Linked DNA regions of Lonchura striata. The protein of the gene in region 2 interacts with the protein of the main gene of each other region in a pairwise test. Links are inferred from orthologs where the notes say so. Each region holds a gene or a part of one and is shown on either strand. Other genes may lie near its edges.

Region 1 (10,595 bases), on a different chromosome or scaffold from region 2:
CTGATCCTCAGATTTAATAACATTAAAATTTTAACTATCAGCAAGGTTACCAGGCCCCTCTGCAACATTCCCACAAAAGCTTAGCTTGAACACAGTAACCAGTTTAGATCCAAAGCCAAGCTCTCTCTCAGTGGTTTAAGTAAAGAAAATAACCAGAGTTAACACTTATTTTACACCTGTATTTGAATGCTGACACTACACACTTCTTAAAAATGTCTTCTCATTCCAGTACACTCCACCTCTGTAACTCTCAGCCCCACAGAGATCCCTCTAACTATTGCTAGTTCATGGCTGAAAGATTTCTAGACCACCTTCCAGTTCTTCTCTTGTGAGGGTAAGAGGCATCAGGAAATGTTTATTCTTTCCAGCTGCACTTGACAAGTTTGGTACACAGAAGACAAAAAAAAAATCTATTTGCTTTACAACCTGACAGACCATATTAACTGCACTAAATAAAAGCAGCAAGTTGGGTTTTCTATTCACCACTTTCCACCTGTATTTCTACATGCTGCTTCAACCAAAAGTGACTGAGACAAGCATGCATACTGGAGAGAGTCAGATCAGGTTCCAAGGTCAAGCTGCATCTCTTTGTCAAAAATGAAGGTAACTGCCATGTTCTATTGCAGTCTCTTAAAACAATCTCCTATTGGGACAAAATTACCACTTCTAAAGATAACAAAAATAACACTACCTTTGCCAGATTTCTTTAAAAGCAACACTCTCAGAATTGCCCATGAAATGACAAAATCATGCTGTGTTCCAGCACATTACTTTGGCTGAAGATTCTTCAAAATTCTGTTATTACGCAAACTTTAGGTAACAAAATGAAAAGAAGATTGGGAGGTGATTAAACAATCTTTTTTTTTCTTTTAAATATCATCACTCTGTCTTCAGTATTTCTTATTCAGTTGTTAAATAATATAGCAAGATGGACACTGTCCTGAATAACAGTGCTTTAGGAAATCTCCTAAATTAACTGAAGAACACATTACTAAATTATTTTGAGTATCCTGCCATCAGTCAGGTTTTGCTGAGCTTTCACCTACACAGGATAGATATCATCACACACAAAGCCAAGCTGAATGTTAATCACAACACAGAACCTTACCATCCCTCCTCTCCATCTCACTCCCCCCCCAAAAAAAACACCTCTGAAGGGAAGAGCTCCTGCTACTGGGGACTGTTACTCACTAGTAAGAGATGTGATGTATCACTGATAGAAGAAATGCACAGCCAAAGCACAGAATTTTGGCAATTCAGAGCAGCAGTACAATTAACTGCAGAAACATGTCTTTTTAAGATTATCTGTCTAAAGGCTTTAAAACAGTACAACTCTGAAAGCGTGTCTCACCATCTGAGCTGGCCATTCCAGTGGCAAACAAAGCAACCCCTACAGAAAAGGAAAAATCCCACAACATTTACTACCCAAGAAGGTACTTTCTAAACTGATGGGTAATTTCTGGTTTTCTTCTGGAACATCTCTCCCTCCAGTAAAATAGATGCAAGTCCTTTAGGGCAGTCTGACAAACCTACTAGGGAGTTTTAAAATACTGTTTATACTTATTTTAGAATATTGTCTCTTAAAAGTGATAAAACAAGACAATTCCTATAAACAAGATGAAATATTTTACAGCAGCACAATACCAAACAGCTTTTTCATCTAAAAATATTGCATTTTCTCCCAATACAGGTTTGAAATACCTCAGGTTTAACATTTATTTGCAGAGGTCTGTAAAAGTAAAAACTTATTCTAATTACTAAGTGTATGCTGAGCACCCGCAGGCATCATTATAATGACTGTACTTTCCTTTTCCAGCCCATCCCTGTAAATTCTGGCTCATGAGTCTGTAGATGATATTACACTAGCAGCATCAAGACTATTGCTAAATTCCATACTAACTTTAACAAATAAAGCAAAGATTTATCTTCCCAAGACACAAGCGATTAGAACAAATAGTTTTATAAAACGATCCATTTGCAGAGAGAGCAAACTCTTTTTAGAACCTTTTCTGGCTTCAGAGGCAAGGAAGGTTTAAAAGGAAAAAGGAGAGAGGGAGCATTATGAAAAGAAACTATCCCATGTCCACAGCTACGGGACAAATCTAACATCACAAACCTAAGGGAAAAATGCAAGCAAAAGGAGTGCTGTTTGACTTTCTGCAAACTGCCTACTTGGGACACTACAGCTCATAAAAGTATATTTTGCCCACAATTTCTGTTCTGAAGCAGGTCTCCAAGGCAAGACTTCACATCTGAATCATAAGCATAAAGACTGAAGGGATTTTCCTTTAAGAACTTAAGGCAATAAGGCGATTCAAACTACTATAAAACCCTGCATAACTGAAGAAATTCCTTTGCTGGTTTATGGCTTCAAATTTCCAAACATGTGAGCTGCTGATGGCATGCAAAATTTTTCTGTATTACAAATAAAAAGTTATAAAACCACACTCAAAAAACTACAAGACTTAATAATGCAGAGTTAAAAATTTAATATTAAAGTCCCAGCTCAGCAAAGAATGTAAACTTGGACATTTTGCTGATTGAAGCTGGAATTGCTCCCTGCATAACACACGTATGTTTAACTGTTTGCTGGACCAGGACTCAAACTTTCTGAAGTCTGCCACCTATATGCAGTATTTACCAAGGGCCTTTACAAAGTCCCAAGTGTGGTTTCTCAAATTCAGCTCTGAGGAAAATGTATTGTCTAAACTGCATGGAAACAGCAGAAACTGAATCTTAGTTTCAAACAAAATATCCAGGTTATATATCCCTCAAATCAAAGTAGCGGACCAAGACAGGACACAACTTCATAGAGGAAGGAAAGCCCATAACAAGGAGCAAGAACAATCCTGCTGTTGCTGTTAAAACTAACACCCAAACCGACTGCAACAAACATTTTAAAACCAAACAACCCTGCCCTTGTTACTCCCTTGCCTAAGCTTATTTCTAGTCAATAACATTTCTGCTAAGAGCCAGATTTATGATTCATGTACATCTGTCACTCAAAGAGCAGAAAAAACGTGACAGCCCTGAAATATTAGACATGACTGTAAGTGCCATAAAAATCAAACTGAAAAAAAAATCCAAACTTAGTACCTATGAATATTTTTATGTTTACTATATCTCATTCAGATTTTGGATATTCACTGCAAATCAGATTTTTTTTTTTCCACCATCACATGATGCAGCTTCAAAAGCCTTAAGACCTTAAAGCCAGTGGAAGTAAAATTAACATGCTAAGTCACGTTAAAGTAGTCGCTCTACCTTATTTTTCAAGTCCCTGATAAATGCTTTAATAACAAGCTTTATACTCTCTCAACATATCCTTTCGTAATTTTAAAAATATACAGAAACGTATTCGGATGGTCAAAGATGTAGAAGTTTGCAATGAACTTCGCTTCATTTTTATGACCTAATGAACTGAGCCTTCTCAAATTTTAGAACCAGCACAGCGGATAAAACCATCACTGTCTATTTTCCGCTTCATCCAGAGTTTTCATTCGCGTGAGAGTGTCGCCACACAGACTGTGCTGGAGGAAGTCTCCGAGGCAACTCCTGGAGAGCAGCAAAACGCCGTCCCAGCACCGTCCGAGAGCGGTGCGAAAGCCGGGGCAGCCCAAGGCGAGCTCTCCGCTAACTCGGGATGTCACGCCTCGGGCACAGCTCCTCTCCGCAAAACCCCCGTGGGAGGAGCCACCGCTCGCTCCCAGGTTTTAGCGCTCAATTGCTTGCACTCCCCAGCTCAACTTACCGTCTACATTTTCCTCAGTAAGACCTTAAAACGCACGCGAACAGCCAGAATAGGGGGGTGGCGAGTTAGCGGAGTCGGCGCCCGGGACAGCGGCGCTGGGTGGTGCGAGCAGAGGAGCAATTCCTGCCGCGGGTCCCTACCTGGAAAGCAGCGGGGGCAGGGGAGGACACGGCTAAAGGGCAGAGGGCGCGGGGCAGGCGGTGTGGGCAGCGGCACCTGCAGCCGGAGGGGAGGGCAGGCTCGTACCTTTGAGCTGGGGCAGCGGCGAGAGCTCCACCGGGCTGCCCTGGCTGCGGAACTGCGAGGAGCCCTGCGAGCGCTTCTGCCTCTGCGCCTTGCGCACCGATTTCCGAGTGAAGCCATCCACCTTCTCCGCGGCAGAGATGGCCGCCGACATGGCTGGGCGGCGGGGCGGCTCTCCACGAGCATATATTGTACCGGAGGGAGAAGCGGGCGGGCAAAAAACAAAGGGACTTAAAAAAAAAAAAAAAAAACCAACAACGAAAAACACCACCAAAAACGAAGTCCTGGCTGCCCTCACACACCGCACCGACGAGGAGAGGAGCGGAGCGGGCTCTGCCGGGCGCTGGGGAGGCTCCCGGGTCGCTCCTCAGTTCCTGCTTCCCTCGCCGTTTCCTCCCCGCGCGGAGCCGGCGGGGGAGCGGAAGGGGGGAGGAGGAGGAGGAAAGGGAAAACAAACAAACAAACCCAAAGACAACTTTGCCCGGCGGGGCGGGGGCGGGCGAGCGCCAAACTTTCCCTCCCGGGGTCCCGCTGTCCTCAGGGCAGGCGCGGCGCGACCCGCTGCGGGACGGGCTCGGCGGCGCCGCTGCCCCGCTCCCGCTTCGCTCGCTCTGCGTCCCCTTCAGTCGAGCCCGCTGTCATCAGCCGAACTCGCCCCCGGGCTTCAGCCGCTCGCTTCCACACGCCCCTTGTCCGCCTTCAGCCGCCGCCGGGCGCTCCCCGCGCCTCCGCCGTCATCCCGCCTCGTCGCGCTCCGCCGGGGGCCGCCGCGCGTGGCGCCGCCACAACCCCGGAGCCGCCGGGCAGCGGCCGCACAACTTGGCGGAGCGAGCGGAGTTGAGCGGAGGGAGGAGGGAGGGGCGGGGCGAGGGCGGGGGCAGAGGCAGCGGTTGGCGGCGACGGGTGATTGACGGCCCGGAGCGACCAATGGAAGGAGAGGAATGCGGAACGCCCCCCGCTCCGCCCGCGGAGGCCTGGGGAGAACGCGGGAGTTGGGCCGCGCGCCGGGGACCGGATGATTGACAGCCGGCTCCTCCAGCCGGGAGCGGGGGAGGCGGGGTGGGCGGGGCTTCCCGGCGGGGGGAAGGGAAAGGGAAAGGGAAAGGGAAGGGGAAAGGGAAGGGGAAGGGGAAGGGGAAGGGGCGGGATGGCGGGCGGGGCGCGCTCCGGCCAATCCCGCGGCGGGCGGGGGAGCGGCGCAGCGAGCGTCCCGCGCCCGGCGGTGCCGCTCACGGGGACACCGCCGAGAGGGTGTTTGACCGGGAGCCGGGAGCGCCGGGAGCGCCGGGAGCCGCGGCAGCGCGCGCTGCGCTCCCAAGCGTATCTCCGTGCCGTGTCCCCACTGCTCCCGAATTTTTGGTTCCTTCGCCCACCCTCCCGACGCCTCAGCGCTTTAAGGTCTCCTTTGGTCTCCGCTGGGCTCGGGTGTGTGACGGTCGGCGCGGCCGCGGTGTTTTCCCTGGCTGGCAGCGCGGCAGCGGCTGGAGGCGGCGCTGCCCGAGCTTCCCGGGCTGGATGCGCAGCCGGGAGCCCGTCCCGCTGCTGGGCGCGATCCGCCTGCGGGGCTCGGGCTGCAGCCGGGCCGGTGACAGCCACGGCTGCGTGTGCGCCGCGGGCTGCATCAGGATCTGACCTGCGCTGGCCCGTTCCCGTACCCGGCTCCCCCGCCCCCGTGCGGAGCTGGACACGCGGGATGCCGTGTCTTGTGGCCATTCACGTACCGCTAAGTTTTGAGCACGTCAGCGCATTTCTTTTTGCTACATAGGTTTGGATACCGATATAGCAAATAAGCATTTGTAGTATTTTAAGCACACACTCAAGTTTCGGTAGCTGTGGTAGGGCATAAATACAATAAGATCACCGTAAATGTTTGTAAAATGCCTTCATTACATGAGTTGGACTTTAATCTCTGTGTATATAAACCATAAATCAAAAGGCAAATGATTATAGCTTTATATGAATGTAAAAGACTAAGAGTGTGATAGCCTATTCAGTAGAAACAGATCTCCCTGTTTGCTTCTGTCTCTTCATTTTCCTTTCCTATGTCAACACAGTCTCTAACTTGTGCACTGCTCATCTTCTTTGCTTTTGGTGAAATAATCTTTAGTAGAGAGAGGGAGTATGAGCCATTCACTTGAGTTGGACTCAGTGATCCTTGTGGGTCTTTTCTGGTTTAAAATATTCTATAACCCCTATGAGCTGAGCTGAGACAAGCCTTTTCTATACACTTTAGATTAAATTCTGGATAGAACATATCTAGAAATTATAGAGTACTAATGTAATATACTTTTATCAATCTTGTAGGTGTTGTAGACTTTTCATTTCATTTCCTTATATTATAAAATCTGTTTTACAGACAACATAGCAGTCTCTAGGTACTTGTCCTTTAAACTACCAGCTCCAATATTGATTGCAGTAAAGGAAATCCTTGCATTAATTACATGATTAATTCTCACTTCACTTCAAGGCCCACAGCTCTTATTGAGAGATCACTGGGGCCAAGCCCCTGTATCGGTGTGTTCCTCTGTTCCTGCCTGCCCTCCAACAGCTGTCATTTGCTTCTGCACCCATTTTTAGAAACTGACACTGCCCAGCGTGTCCTGTGTACTGTTTATTGGCAACTCAAGCCTTGCTTCCAATTCCCAGGGTAAAAGAGTCTACCTTAGAGGTTCATCAGCATTTCAGGATTTGTTAAGGAAGCTTGATACATGTTCTAGTTGTAAAATGTAAAAATGTTGGTTTTCTGCGGTTTAAAGTGTTTTCCCCAAGGTTGCTTAGGCTTAGAAGTGCTGTTTGAAAATGTGCTTTAAAAAATCTGTTGGCAGTTGAAATTCATGACACCAAGCCTTCCTTGCAATGATGGGATTTTCATATTGATTGCACTGAAAGATATTTTCAGACTGCATCTTCATGTATCATTTGTAAAAGAAATATTGGTGAGATCTGAGTCAGCTACACAAAACAAAACGTTTATTCTCTCAAATAAATAAGAAGTACTTCTAGCCATTGAGTTTTCTTTTGTCTTTTTAATATAACTCTTCTGTTTCAGAAAAGAATGAGCAGCATCTCTGGTGACCAGCTACAGTTTCCTAAACTGAAATGGTAATGTTTGCTTTAAGTTGCACTTGAAGTCAGTGGAATTACATCAATGTGTGAAATCATTGGAACATACAGGCCTGCTGGACTGGGGTATTTGGAGACAAAAAATGAAACAAGAGCTGTGAGTGGCAGTCTGAAATAATTGTGTTTGAGAGGGCTGGAGTTTGCCCTTCCCTGCTTTCTGCTTCCTACACAGCTGTCAGAGCTGCTCTGAGTCAGCTTCTGAAGCCCCTGGTTTTCAGAGTATATTTAAAGGCACACAGGGATGATGCCAGGTTACAAGCTGCTGGCTCCAGATGCAATTCATTGAAGTCTGCGGTGTCCACAGAGAATGTTGTGAATAGTAATTTTATGCCAAGCTATTCCCACTCCTAAATCAGGCTCCTCAGTATGCACTGAGGCCTTGATTCTGCAAAACCTCTCGCATATCTCTAGCTTTGAAGAAGGCTCATTATCATTATTCAGAACGGAGGAGCAACATTCTGGAGCAGATTTTACTGAAAGTCGCATTTATGGTTCTTTTCATTTAGCCACAGATGATTATTTCCTGCATTTTCATATCATCTTTTTACCCAGAAGAGAAACCTTTGGAAAGGTGAACAAGAACATGACGCATCATTAGCTTGCAGAATCCTGGCCAAGTTGTCTTGCAAATCTGGTGCTTCAAGTACCAGGTTGCTACCAGATTTTTGCTGCAGGGAGTTGCCTGGCTGCCAGCAGATGAGGAGTTAACTACAGCTCTGCTTTCCCATTCATCCATACGGATGCTTGGAGGCCAAGCTGCCAGAAATCTATCTCTTCCCAGAGACAGTGGGAGGAATATTTTAGTAAAGAGGATGCCCTAAGTGGGTGAACTCTCAGCCAAGAAAGTTTGTTGAGAAAATTTGATTTCCCTCTCAAAATGAATATGAAAAACCCTGTTGACTGCAACTGTGCTTATATTTACTACTGCACAAACCCAGCAGTTTTTCAGGGTATTTCACAGAATCACAGAATGTCCTGGGTTGGAAGGGACTTCAAAGATCATCTTGTTCCAAACCCCTTGCTATAGACAAGGGCACCTTCCACTAGACCAGGTTGCCCAAAGCCCCATCCAGCCTGGCCTTGAGCTCTTCCAGGGATAAGGCATCCACAGTTTTTCTGGGTAACTGTCGCTATTGGACACAAAACGAGCACACAGAAGCTTGGTAAGTTCAAAGGAAAAAAAGCACAAATTTTATTTCTGACCTCGCAATATATGAAATTCCAAAAGCGACAGTGGATTGGAGGATGAAATTGCCACCTCTCCAACCACACTGGTCAAACCAACCAGTCCATCAATTCTTTCCTCCCACAAAGAAGAATGCAAAACAATCTTTATCAACATGAACAGTGTATGAGAACTCCAGTAGAAATATGTAAACATCAGAAGGCATAGAAAACTTTTAAAAAAACTTTAAAACTTTCAAAAGAACTATAAAAGAAAACTTAACACTTTTATAAATCAGGGCAACACGTAACCTGTTCCAGTGCCTCACCCTCTTCACAGTGATGAACTTCTTCCCCATATGTGATCTAAATCTACCCTTTTTCAGAGTAAAGCCATTATCCCTTGTCCTGTCACTACATGCCCTTTTAGTAAGTCCCTCTCCAGCTCTCTTTTAGACCCCCTTTAGATATAGGAAGTACCCTAATGTCTCCCTGGAATCTTCTCTTTTCCAGGCTGAAGAACTCCAACTCACTCAGCCTGTCTGCAAATGTGAGGGGCTTAGTCCTAGATTAAAATACTTCCTTGGACTAATGCCCCAGTAGAACCAAGTGAGATATCCACCTAGTTCAGGATAAACTATATGCTTACATACATATGTTCTGTAGTCTATCTTGTGTAGTAGATATCAAGCATAAGTGTTCCCAAGTCTTCTGCTTGACAAATCCTTGAATAATACAGCATTAGTAATCTCAGGGCCATTTGTCACCTTAATCCCAGGGCAGAATTTGAAATTCAGGGATTGGAATTCAGAGGTTAGATGGCAAGATTTTGTTTGTAAGGGTCCTGAGTTTGACTCCTTTCAGTGTACCTGTGACTACATCATTACAGTCTGTGGTGGGTTTACTGTTGGTCAAATGCCAATGTACCCCCTAGATTTACTCCTTTCCTGCTGTGAGATAGGTTTAGGAGGAAGGTAAAGCAGGATCAAAACTTTAAAAGGGTAAAGAAAACTTTATTAACTAAAAGAAAGAATAATAATAATCAGAATAAAACCTTTAGAACACTTCTCCCTCTCCTACAACATTTTCTTTCCCACTAACAAAGCACAGAAACAAGTCAGTCAGTTTATCACTTCTAGAACAATCTTTCTTCGGTTCACTTAGGGAGCGGAGTCCCTCTTGTCAATTTATGGAAATTTCTCCACAAGAAAACAGTTCTCTCGTGGCTTTTAATTTCCACGAACAGCAGTTGCCCAGAAATCTGCAATCATGAAGTCTCTCCCTTTTTTCACAGCTTTTACCACAGCTGTGTTCATGGGCCATGTCAATTTATGGGGTACTGTTTTAAGGATGAGCTGTTTAAGAGCAAAGGTTCTCCTTATTTATCTCTGAGATCATCTCTGGGAACAGAGGTCTTCTTCTTTCTGGATGGGCAAAGGGTCTTCATCCATCTTCTCTCTCTGTTCAAACTTGTCATGTGATCACAGCTGCTTCAACATCTGCTTACTTTAGCATAAATGCCTTTGCTCATATCTACAATTTGAACCCTTTATTCCCCATACTTTTCAATGGGTTACAGGGGGGAAAAGAGTCAAATATTCTTCTCCATAGCTTTACAAGAGGATTTCAAGGTCAAGGCATCTCCTCATCCTTCCCATCTGGGACTTGACTCTTTCTTCACTAACCTTGGTGTATTCATGTTGTTCCTCTGCATGTCCTCACTCTGTCCTTTTCTCTCACTCAAGAGAGGATTGGTGTCTGTGGGTCTCATCTCTGCACTGAAAGAGTTTGTATCTCACCCGGGGTGTGCAGATGGTGACGTGATCCCTGCCAGGCAGCAATGCAGTCGTGATGATGGATTTGAGGCCACGCTGGGGGCTGTGTTGCAATCTCAAGGGGCCCAGAGTCCCCTTCGGTGCCAGGACAGCCCCTTGGCAGCTATTCAGAGAGGCATGTCCAGCTTTCTCAATGGTTTAACAGATTGTCAATTCTCAGGGCTAATTACTGGTAAGTTTTTGTCAGACAGAGGAAACTAGTAGCAGCTTCTCTTAGTCACTTCTGTGAATGGCTTCAATGCAAAGCCAGCACACTGGAGCATCCCACAAAGATCTTCCTGCACTCACGGGACTCACAGGCACCTTAGTGCTTCCTCTGTTTGTGTCTGGTCAAGGCTGAGATGTGCCTGAACCTCTTCTCACACTCAGGACACTCGTAGGGCCTCTCCCCACTGTGGATGCACCAGTGGGTGATGAGGTGGGAGTTGTGCTTAAAGCTCTTCCCGCAGTCAGGGTAGCAGAAAGGCCTCTCCTCTGAA
Region 2 (10,908 bases):
TTGCAACACAGGACGAACTACTTCATGAGTTGCATAAAGGTTTTTTTTTTTAAATAATAGCATATCAGCAGCTTGTCCTTGAGACTAACACTTGAATGCATGAACCTTGCCTCCTGTATAGTTCTACTCTTGGGGCACAAGGTACCTTTTGCCTTACAGAAACACTTGAGCCAACTTAGCTGATGTCTTAAATATTTGAACTTTGCCTGTAACTTTAAACATACAGAGCTAGCCTGAAATCATGTCAAGTCTGTGTTTAGTGTACCCTTTATACTTCAGATTACATTTGAAGCGAAAATTTGCATTCCTGAATCCTGAAAATGCTGATGCTGAAAAATACTTAGATCAAACTAGCACACTGTGAGACAAAATATAAACAGAGTGCCATGACACTGTCAGAACAGTTGTATATTAAGATTCTTGTATATTAAGATTAAGTTGTATATTAAGAAAACCCTTTAGGAACAGATTGTTGTGGAATCAGAGCTGTGCTAACTCACTGAAGCTCTTTACCATCTTGCCTGAGTCACCTCTGAGTCACACATACAGGCAGCAACTTTGTGCCTGGAGAACATCAGTGCAGGACAGTGACTTCTTGTAGACAGTACATTACGGCTCAGCATCAGTTCCGATGCATTTGCCCTGTGTGTTTTCTCACCACACAGCTGGCAGACAAGGAAAGACAGCAACACAACAAAATAGCAACATGTTTATCACAGGTTTTGTATGTGTGTGTATCTGACATTTCAGATGCATCTAAAGCGAACCCAAGAGTAAAGAGCACCTGTTAGTAAAAAGAGGATTTGTTAAAGATGATGTAGCATTCTCTTAAGAGTCTCTGAAACACAGATGGAAAACAAGTGCCAGCAACGCACTTCCTTTTGCAAAGTCACTGGTCCTTACAGTTCCAGCCTTTCACCCAGCAAACAACTACACCCCAGCAGAGCGGGGCTGCTCTGCCGCTCATTCCACAGGCCCAGAGCTGACAAGGTGTGGGTGACTGGGCTACCAGGCCCTCTCCTCTCACCTGGTAGTAGTTGGCTCGTGCTTCCAGCATCATCTGCTGATTGCTGATCATCTTCTTCCTCCGCCGGCACTCCTCCTTAAGCCCCTGGATCTGCTGTAAGTGCTGGGCCAATTCCTTGACCACCTTGTCACGCTGGGCCTGTGCCTCTCTCAGGGCCTCCTCCAGGCTGCCGAGCTGGGCGCTGAGGTACTCCTGGGAGTGCAGCAGGTACTCGGTAGAGAGCTGCGCCAGGCGCAGCAGCTTCAGCAACAGCGGGTCTGCGGGGCCCTGGCAGTGCGGGCAGCACTCCCGCTCGGCGGTGCAGAAGGTGACATGTTCCAGGTGCGCCTGCAGGGCCGCCACGTCCCCCTCCCGCGTCACCCGCTCCACGTCCACGGTGCTCAGCCGCCGCCAGTCCGGGTTCTCGTGCCTCCCGCGGAACTGGAACGCGGGGAACGCCGCCGGGCCGGCGCCGGGCCCGGCCGCCGGCGGGTGGTAGGTGCGCTGGGAGAAGGGCTGCGGGGAGAGACACGGCTCAGCCCGGGCCGGCACTCGCCGCCCGCCCCGCCGCCCGCCCGTCCCGGCGCTCACCATGTCCGGGCTCCGTCCCTGCGGCTCCGCGCGGCGCCGGCGTCCTCCGCGTCGCTATAGCAGCCCCGGCCTGAGCGAGGGGAGGCGGCAGTGACGCCGGGCTGTACCGCCCGCCCCGCCTCTCCCCGCCCCACGGCCCTTCGGCTCCGTGCACGGCGCAAATCCCGTCCTTCTCCCTCCGGGCATCCTTCTCCCGCGGCGCCTCCACAGCCTCCCGACAGCGCCGCGCTAAGGAGCTCTGTCCCGCGGCTCCCGGTGCCGGCACCGCACGCAGCGCATCCTTTACCATCTTCACACGCCACTCGCACCAACAAACGTATCCTCGGCTTCGCTCTTATGTTTATACATCCTTAATGCAGCTACACAGCATACGCTTTCTCTCTCCACGTTCCCTTGGCTTCTTTGAAGTCTGTACATGCCACCCTACTCACACGTTCACTGCATCAACGTGCATCCCCATCCGGTGCCCCCTCCGTGCTGCTCCTGACTCTGACCTTTCTCAGTCTGCCATGACTTACACTCCTCTATACCTGTGTTGTCCTGTGCCCTTCTCCAGCCTTGCCTACTCAACTTTCTCCCAGATGTGACAACACCTGTCACCTCCCTACCATCAGCATTCATATATACAGCGTTTCTCCGTACATCTTCACACCGCTGCGCCCTCATGTGCCTTAGCTCGTAGCTCTATGCAATCTCTCCACTGCAACTCCACATCCCTCCCAATGCCCACACACCAACCTCCTGCTGGGTGCTTTCAAACAAAGGGCTCACCTTAACACAGTCACACACTTTGCATGCCGCTTCCACATGCTCCCGTCACTCATCGAATCAACACACCTCTGCCTGGTATCAGCACACACCAGACCCACTCCTGCAACCATAAAACCCTACAACCTCACCACATCTGTTGTTCCTGTCTCATACTACCGATCCCAAACCCTTCAGCCCCTCGTGCTTTGCATACATCACCTACTTTACCATCCATGCACAAATACTTTTCTTCAATGCAACCAACAACTTCTGCCTATATCCCTGCCTCACCTCAGTCCCCAGTGCTCCCCATTACGGTGTTTCCCTTGCACCTGCTTGGTTGCTTCAAACACTATTTCTGAGCAGCAGCATCTTTCCCCTCCAACATACAAAATCACCCTATTTCATTCTTCTCCAAAAACCTGCTCTTCCTGTTACCATTTCTTAATATTTCAGTCTCCTAGCTATGTCTGCCTTATTGCCATGTTCCACATTTATACCTCCCTAACTTTTCAGTCCCTTCCACACATATTTTAGTTTCTCATCCTCTTGGTCATTCCTAGATACATACCTCTCTAAGAACAGTCACACAATATATATCTGACCATACACTCCGTTCCGTAGATTCCTCTACATCATGCATTATAGACTCACAGAGATGTTCTCAAGGGACCTCTGGTGATCATCGTCCAGTCCAAATTTCTGCCGCACACTAGTTCACATCACCTGTGGCATTTAAGAAGAACAGACAATCCATGACCTCCCAGTACAACCTCCTGTATGTCTGCTCTCTTCCTGATGAAAACATTTTTCTTAATGTTTCACTTTAATAATAGTATCTGCTATTACCAAGATTAAAAAAATGGTTTGAATATTTTTGCCACAATTGTTCAAGTAACTGCAGGCCACTACAAGAGTACCCCTTTTCCTTCTCTTTACCATACTAAATAAGCCCAGGTCCCTCAGCTTCTTCTCATAGACCATTTAGATACTAACCATGTTAGGCCTCCTTTGTCCCCTTTCAGTTCCTCCTCATAGTTCATACCCCCCCATAAATTTCCCTCCTTTCACCTCCTAGGAACTTGTAATGAACCTCATCTTTCATCTGCACTTTTAACATTGCCTCTCCAACATAAACAGTAACATGTTTACCAGTAATCACAATATAGAACTACTTCCACAAAAATACCAGCAATGTTGCTAGGTGCACCAACATGAGCACCCTCACAAATTACAAGCTCTTAGTCTTATGTAGATTTCTATGTTGGTTGTTGCTTCTTGGACCTTGAACCTTAAGCCTACTGGTCACACTTATACCCAAGGTTCAGTTCCATTTAGATTCTTCCATCACTTACCACGCCACTTGTTTTTAATTTAGAAAAGATATTGTGTGATGTTCCAACATTTCAGCCTTCTCCTACAAGAATGACATTTTTGCCGCCTCATTTTCCACGAACAGTCTCCAGCTAATCTTCAAAGAAATCTATTTAACTTTTTTTGATGTATAGCAAATATACATATCATATCATATTACACATAATGAAATCTAGCTCCCAAAGATCTAAGCCCAATATGTGCTCCATCTATTTGACATAGGAGAAATTTCTTTACATAAAAACCATGTGAATTTTGAAAGCTACCACTTTGTGTGTCAAGCAGAAGAAGCCTGAAATTAATTAGAAAAAAATAACCAAACATTATTTAAAGCCAGCAAAGTAAACTATGCCTGAGGACAGCTTATTCTCCTCAACCAATGTATCTAGTCAGGAATATCCATACAGATTTGCATGCTTTAATTGAACGCGACCTTGCAGTGGTACATCATCTATGCATCATATAATGGTCCTTGTTGGAATGCACCTTAAAGACCATCTAGTTCCAACCAGCTGCCATGGGCAGGGTCACCTTCTAGTAGACCGGGTCACTCAGAGCCCCATCCAACCCGGCCTTGAACTCTGCCAGGGATGGGAGGAGCACTACGAGAAGACGAATAAACCGCCCTAGCATCTCGATGGAGACAGAGAAAGTACGCACGGGCGGAGGCGGCCCTTTTCGATCTTTTTTTCCCTTTCCTTTCTGCCAGCTTTACTCTATTCTGGGAGCTGTGCCCATGAAGAATTTAGAGTGATCACCCACGCGCGAGGCCTGGTCAAGGGTGGCACCGCCTGCATCCCCGGCCGCCGCTCCTCTCCGGGACGGGCGGGACGGGGGAAAAGCGGCGCTTCCCCGCGGCGGTGTCCGCGGGCCAGGCCCAGACGCGGCGCTTCGGGAGGCGGCCGAGCGCGGCCGGGCCTGCGGGAGGCCCTGAGCCGGGCTCCATCTGCCTGCCAAAACCTGCAGCTCCGTTTCGGAGCGCGGCCGCCTCGCCTCTCCCTGCCGCCTGCCCCAGCGGAGAGGCCCCTCCGGAGTCTGCCTCCCGCCACCCCGCTGCGCCCGGGGCGGGGGGAGAAAGGGAGACCCCTGCGCTCACCTCCGGCTGCAGCTCCGCGGGTCTCGGCGGGCGGAGGGGTGCGGAGGGGCGGCGGGGCTGCGGCCGCTCCCGCCCCTGCCGTTAGCGGCGGTGCCGCGGCGGCTGCGCCCCCGCCTCCGCCGGGCCCGTCCCGCGCCGGCCCCGCTACCCCGGGCCGCTCGCGGGGCTGGCTGCGGAGGGGTGGGCGCCCAGGGCAGGCGGGGGCTCCCCCGCTGCTCGTCCACGCTCCCTCCTTGATAACCTGCCCGGCAGATGCTGATGCCCGGGCGGGATGTCCTTTGTCTTAGTCCGGTCCCGAGCCTCTCCGACCGAGAAGAAGCCTTTTCTCTCCCTTTTTGTAAAATGCAAGGGAAGTTACAACAAGCTTTGGAAAGGCTGCCTTTGGGAGTTCAAGGCACGTTTTGCCACGCAGTCACCGCATACGACACGTTTAAACCTGTGGAGCAGCGAACTTCTTAGCGGGGTTGGGAGTCCCCGCCGACGCGAGGCGGGCGGCGGTGGGGCGGGGGCAGGAGCCCGCCTGCTCCCCGAGATGGACGGGGGGTTTGGGGCTTGCAGGAGCCCTCCTGCCTACCGAGCTGGATAGGGCGACTTGAGGAGCTGCGGGATCCCATCTGCCCGCCGAGCAGAAGCGGGGTCTCGGGATTTGCAGCATCCTGCCTGCGCACCGAGCTGGAAAGGGGTTTGTGGGTCTGCAGAGACTCGCCTGCCTGCCGAGCTGGAGGGAAGCCCGAGGGACCGAGAACGTAGTGATAATCTCCAGCGGGAGAAGGTGAGGAGCTTTCATGAGAGTTTTCTGACGTTTGCAGGAAAACACCGTATTCCAGTGCCAGGATAAGGTTGGGCGTATGCTTTCCTGCAGGTATTTTATAGAAGTAATGTCAGATGAAGTTGTTATTTTCAATTAAAATATGTATTGCATCATGCAGATAGAATAATTCCAACAGCTACAGATTACCTCAAATCCTTCTGATTTGATTCCTCTTCCCTGTAAGTGTTTTAAATTGTGTTTTTCCATTATAAATGCTGTGCAGCCTTTGTGGCCACAAGGAAAATTTCAAACACTTTGTATTTAATATAAATTATGCTGGCAAATTCAGTGATGGAAGTAATCATTAGACATTTACAACACCTAATCTTCATTTAGGAATTCCATTTGGCCAGGGATATACCACTGTGTTTTCCAAAGTACTGACACCAGCTTACCTTACTGAACTGTGAAATTCTGTTGCTACAGTGTAGATGTAGGCACATATGCTGTGAACACCAGCTTTAAAAAAGAGGTAATAATTTAGGTGCTTATGTTTTTGATGCTCCAAGGGTACCTCAGCATGCTTCAGTCACTAATGTGTGTTCAATTCAGAGGATCAGGCTAGTCTGAAGGAAAACCTGAACATGTATCAAATGTGGACATCCAGTCCTCAGTCCTAATGACTTTTGCTTTTGCAGATCTACATCTGTTGGACTACTAAAGCAGGCATTGCCAGAAGATGCTTTATTAAGGCTTTAGTGTGGTAAACCTTAATTAAGAGAGGACTTTGGAAACCTGCAGTGTGACAGTCACAGCCTCTATGGGTCAGGCCTAGAGGCAAATATGCAATACAAGTTGATGAATAGTTGTGAATATGTGAATAGTTGGAGCACTCAGAGAGCAAGATGAACAAGTACAGGCCCTTGGGTGCCCAAGAAATTCTATACCCCATTCCCTTAGAATGCCCTAATGGCAACACCAGAGTCTGTTCAGCATGCCTTTTAAGGATTTCTCTTGCAAATAAAGTTTTTTTTTGTATCAAAATAAATGCTAACTGTGTGCAAAAATGCTGGAAATGCTCTTCAGTTGATGAGGAGAGTGGCATATGAAGTGTGCAGAAATGTGGATTTTGGTGGTTATTCTAGTACCTGTTTAATACAAAATACACAAGCAGGCCTTGGATGAGAGCTATAACCAAGATTTTTATGGTGAAGGGGTGGTTCTCACCCTTTAATTCTTTTATTCTAATTTGTTCCAGGGCTTGATTAATCTTTAATTGCTAGCTGTAAGTGGTACAGCCTCACTTGGCAAGGGTGGGTATTCTTTAACCCACATTAGTGCTGAGTTCTACCCTTATATGCCTTGGTGACAAAAGTACTCTCCTAAAACATGCGTGGATTTACTAGGAGAGGACCAAGAGCATTTCCAAGGTATTTGCGAGGCTCATAGAAGGTACCTGCAAATGGAGAGCAGAAAAATGAGAGTATTCTGATTGTGGAGTGAAATATGATGACATCTTGGCAATGGCTATTTGGAAAATATCCTGAGTAGCAGGGGTACTGGGCACTGAGGGAGGCTGCGTGGGGACAGACAGGCCTGGCAGTGCCCCCAGAGCACTGATGCAATGTGTTATGTGAAAAAGTTATTGGTGTATTTTGTGGTGTGGAGGAGGACTACACATGTTGTACAAGACATTTTAATTTGAGAGGGCAGTGGAAAAACTGTCTTGGGAACTGAGAAGTGGACTCTTCAGTAACCTCTCTCCTACAGCGCTCTCAGAGTGACGCATACAAGTAATCATTAACTCTGGTGGAAAGCTGACTTCACCAGAATGGTGTAAGCATAATAATGAGCTTAGCCAGATTCTTAGTTTATTTAATCTTTTCCTTCCTGCCAGTTTGCACCATGGCACATTTTTCAATTTTCAAGCGAGTGGCTGTGTGGCGCTTAGTTGCTGGCTGGGGGTAAACTGTGACAAATACCTATAATAAATACTTCCATTTGTTCAAACTTTCCATCACTCAGTTTACCTGAGGAAATAATTTATGTATTTTTATCACAGGAAAACAAAATATTTTAAAGAAAGGTAGAATGAACCACTCTCCTGACCCTTTTGTGTCACTTCTTCAATCCAACAACTACCACCAACCACAATTAAGCAGTTTGAATAGACACTGCTCTATGTAGTTTAATAAATTTTATTTTCAAGTTTGGGTGCTTCAGACTCTTCAAATTAAATTTTTTTTAATCTTAAAATAAAACAGTTTATCTTAAAAGTTTCTCTTCACATAAGAAGTCTAGCTGGATTTTACTGAGATGGCCAGCTCATGTATCTTCCTTTCTTCCAAACTCGGAGGGAATTCAACTTAACTATAGAGAAATGTCTGCAAAGACACTGAAACCATTGATGCAATTGCAGCAACAGAAGGGTCACACAAGCAAGTACTTGGATTTTAACACTTAAATACCTCTAGATGAATTTTTTATGGCATACATTAGATATTTGTTCTTTTTCTAACAACTGCATTGCACTTTTTCACTGATGTGGCTATAACAGCCTGCAGCTGGGTGAGTAAAAGAGGATGCTAGATGGCATCACTGACCAATGGCTTACATGAACTTGTAAAATTCTGCATGAGAAGGGTTCTGTTGCCAGTGGCTTGAATGAATAATGTCTTGAGAGATGGAAACATCCTCTTAGGAAAGAAGAGTATGGAGCTGTCTGCTAGAGGAGGCAGAGGTAAGGCTGCACACATACATGCTCTTAAGTTCTGGTTAAAGTGCTTAGAAATGCAAGTTTTGCTTGTTTGGTGTTTTGGAAGACAAAATAAGAACAAACACCTTCAGTGATGGCACAGCACTTTGTTAATGGTATTTTTCAGTTTGTAAAATCAGAGACATTCAAGAGAAACAATATAGCTTCCTGGAATCACAGAGGTTTGAAATTTGGAGTTGAGCTGGGAAAAATATGTGTAATTAATGCTAGGTAAATCAAAATGAGTTTCAGGGAAATCAAAACTAGTTATGCAAATAGACTGAATTTCAGAAATTGCTTCAATCAAGAAATACAAAGAGTTCATTAATGTTAACATTTTTCATATATTTTCAAAATAAAATTCTTTACTTCAGAAAAATAAGTGTCTCAATATTTGAAGCAATTTTTTTTGATTTTCAGAGTAGCATTTTAATTGAGACATATTCTATGCCCTAAAAATGCAATACATGTTTTAATAAGGGCATATTTTCATAAATTAAATATTTTACTCCCTTGTCCTAGACAAGACTGGACACTCACACTCCCTTTCAAGACCAATGACAAACATCAGCTTTTCCAAGTGCAAGTTTACAGCATGTAAATTAAGCTCTTGTGCTGAACTGTGGGTTGTAGAAGCCTTTCTAATTCTATTAACTGTTAAGGAACCCAGATAAAGGAATTTCCCCACAGCTGTCTCCCGTGAATAGCAATCCAAATGTGAAATTCCCAAAAGATTAGCCTAGATAAACAAGAATCCTATGTTAAGCAGATGTACACTACTATTTAATGCAGCTCCATCACAGCTAAGTTTCTGACAGAGAGATGCACATAGGTAAGAACAAAAATGAGGTACAAGGACTGAGAAACCTCTTATAAGAAATAGTCCTGAGAATACCACCTATGTGTTATTGTCCTCTCTCACTTCCTCCTTTATTTTCATACTAGATTGTGCATGCAACAGTCTCCTATATTACTTCTATATTCTGCTCAGTTCAGTCTGCTATATTGCTTCTATATTCTTCCTGGATCAGGAAACTTTTGTTAGGGTGGATTTGGAATCGAGATTAATTAATGAAATTGTATCTATCGATTGTATCACCGAGCATTCCAGGGTCCTCCAGAGATAAAACTATCTCCACCAAATGTCATCTTATTCAGTTCACTGTCTCTGAAGCAATGAGTAGCTTCAAGTCATTCCTTGCTAATTGTCGCCCTCTGATGTTACTATATATTACCAGCACCAACTCGGGAGAAGACATGAAGTTATTAGAGGGTGTCCAAAGGAGGGCCATGAGGATGAAGGGCCAAGAGGGGAAGCCATACGAGGAGCGGCTGAGGTCACTTGGTCTGTTCAGTCTGAAGAAGAGACTGGGGGAGACTCCATTGCAGTTACAGCTTCCTCATGGAGGGAGGAGAAAGGGCAGACACTGATCACTGTAGTGACCAGTGACAGGACTGAGGGAATGGCCTGGAGTTGTGTCAGGGAAGGTTTGGTTGGATATTAGAAAAAGGGTTCTTCCCCCCGAGGGTGGCTGGGCACTGGAACAGCATCCCAGGGCAGTGGTCACAGCACCAGGCTGACAGAGCTCAAGAAGCGTTTGGACAATGCTCTCAGGCACATGGTGTGATTCTTGGCATGCCCTGTGGAGGGCCAGGAGTTGGGCTTTAAGAGCCTGATGGATTCCTTCTAACTCAGGATATTCTGTGCTTCTGTGATGAGGCACGACTGTATTTCCCAATCCGATTTTCATTCTCTGTAATTCTCTGAGAAAATCGTTAACAACTTCTGACTCAAGGGATGTCAAGACGAGCAGGGCGGGAGCGGGCAAAGAGAGATGAAATGCGGACGCGGCCAGGCGCACACCCCGTGCGCCTTTCAGCGGGCGGGGCGCGGCGCCGCCATGTCCGCCGAGGGCCCGCGCCGGCCGCGCCGCCATGTTCGTGAGGCACCGCGCCGGGGCGGGGCCGGCCCGCTCGCGCCGCTCCCTCACGTCCGGCGGCGGCGCCAGGCGGGGGCGGGCGCGCGCCGCGCGGCCAATCAGCGTCGCCCACGACCCTGCCCGGAGGAGCTGGAGCCGCCGCTCGGTTGGGCCCGGCCCGGAGCCGCCACTGTCGGGACGGGGGGCGGCGACGGAGGAGGAGGAGGAGGAGATGGTGTCCCCCGCCGCCTCGGCCGGGCGCCTGGGCTCCGCTCTGCCCTTCCTGCTCGTGCTCCTCGACCTGCAGTACCAGGGTGAGCCGCGCCGGGGTCCCTGGTGGGGGTGCGGTGCGGGGGTACTGTGCCGCGGCCGTGGCGGCTGGTGGCTGCCGCCCGCCCTCCGTCCGGCCCTCCTGCCGGGGCTGCGCGCATTCCGCCGCGGCGGCGGGGCGCACACTCCACGCTCCCCCCTCCTCGGGCCCGTGTCGTCTTGAGCGGGGGGCACATTTCGGGAAAGAGTGTGCGGAGGGAGGTGCAGCGCTGCCAGCTCATCTCTCGGCGCCGTGGCGAAGGATGAGTAACAAGGGCACGGGCGCTGCCGGTGACCTGTTGGGTTCGTGCGCTTGGACGCGGCTCGCGGTGTGTGCTTCGCGCTCGCCGGCCTGTC

What was found. The genes of interacting proteins can lie anywhere in the genome.
Region 1: the proteins of DZIP1 (region 2) and PPP2R5A interact in binary tests that used the Homo sapiens proteins (3 or more experiments, as listed by UniProt). The link is inferred for Lonchura striata from reciprocal best matches to the Homo sapiens genes DZIP1 and PPP2R5A.

Annotation. Positions count from the first base shown.
Region 1 is NC_134605.1:11,992,959-12,003,553, forward strand, and holds the start of PPP2R5A (serine/threonine-protein phosphatase 2A 56 kDa regulatory subunit alpha isoform), read right to left. Parts: upstream 4,746-10,595; 5' UTR 4,460-4,745; intron 4,225-4,459; 5' UTR 4,149-4,224; coding exon 3,998-4,148; intron 3,913-3,997; exon of another isoform or gene 3,892-3,912; intron 1-3,891. UniProt on the Homo sapiens protein: The B regulatory subunit might modulate substrate selectivity and catalytic activity, and might also direct the localization of the catalytic enzyme to a particular subcellular compartment.
Region 2 is NC_134604.1:76,785,924-76,796,831, forward strand, and holds the start of DZIP1 (cilium assembly protein DZIP1), read right to left. Parts: upstream 4,923-10,908; 5' UTR 4,818-4,922; intron 3,074-4,817; 5' UTR 3,002-3,073; intron 1,668-3,001; 5' UTR 1,601-1,667; coding exon 1,598-1,600; intron 1,523-1,597; coding exon 1,028-1,522; intron 1-1,027. Other genes in the region: DNAJC3 (dnaJ homolog subfamily C member 3), read left to right, coding at 10,475-10,556. UniProt on the Homo sapiens protein: Molecular adapter that recruits protein complexes required for cilium assembly and function to the cilium basal body.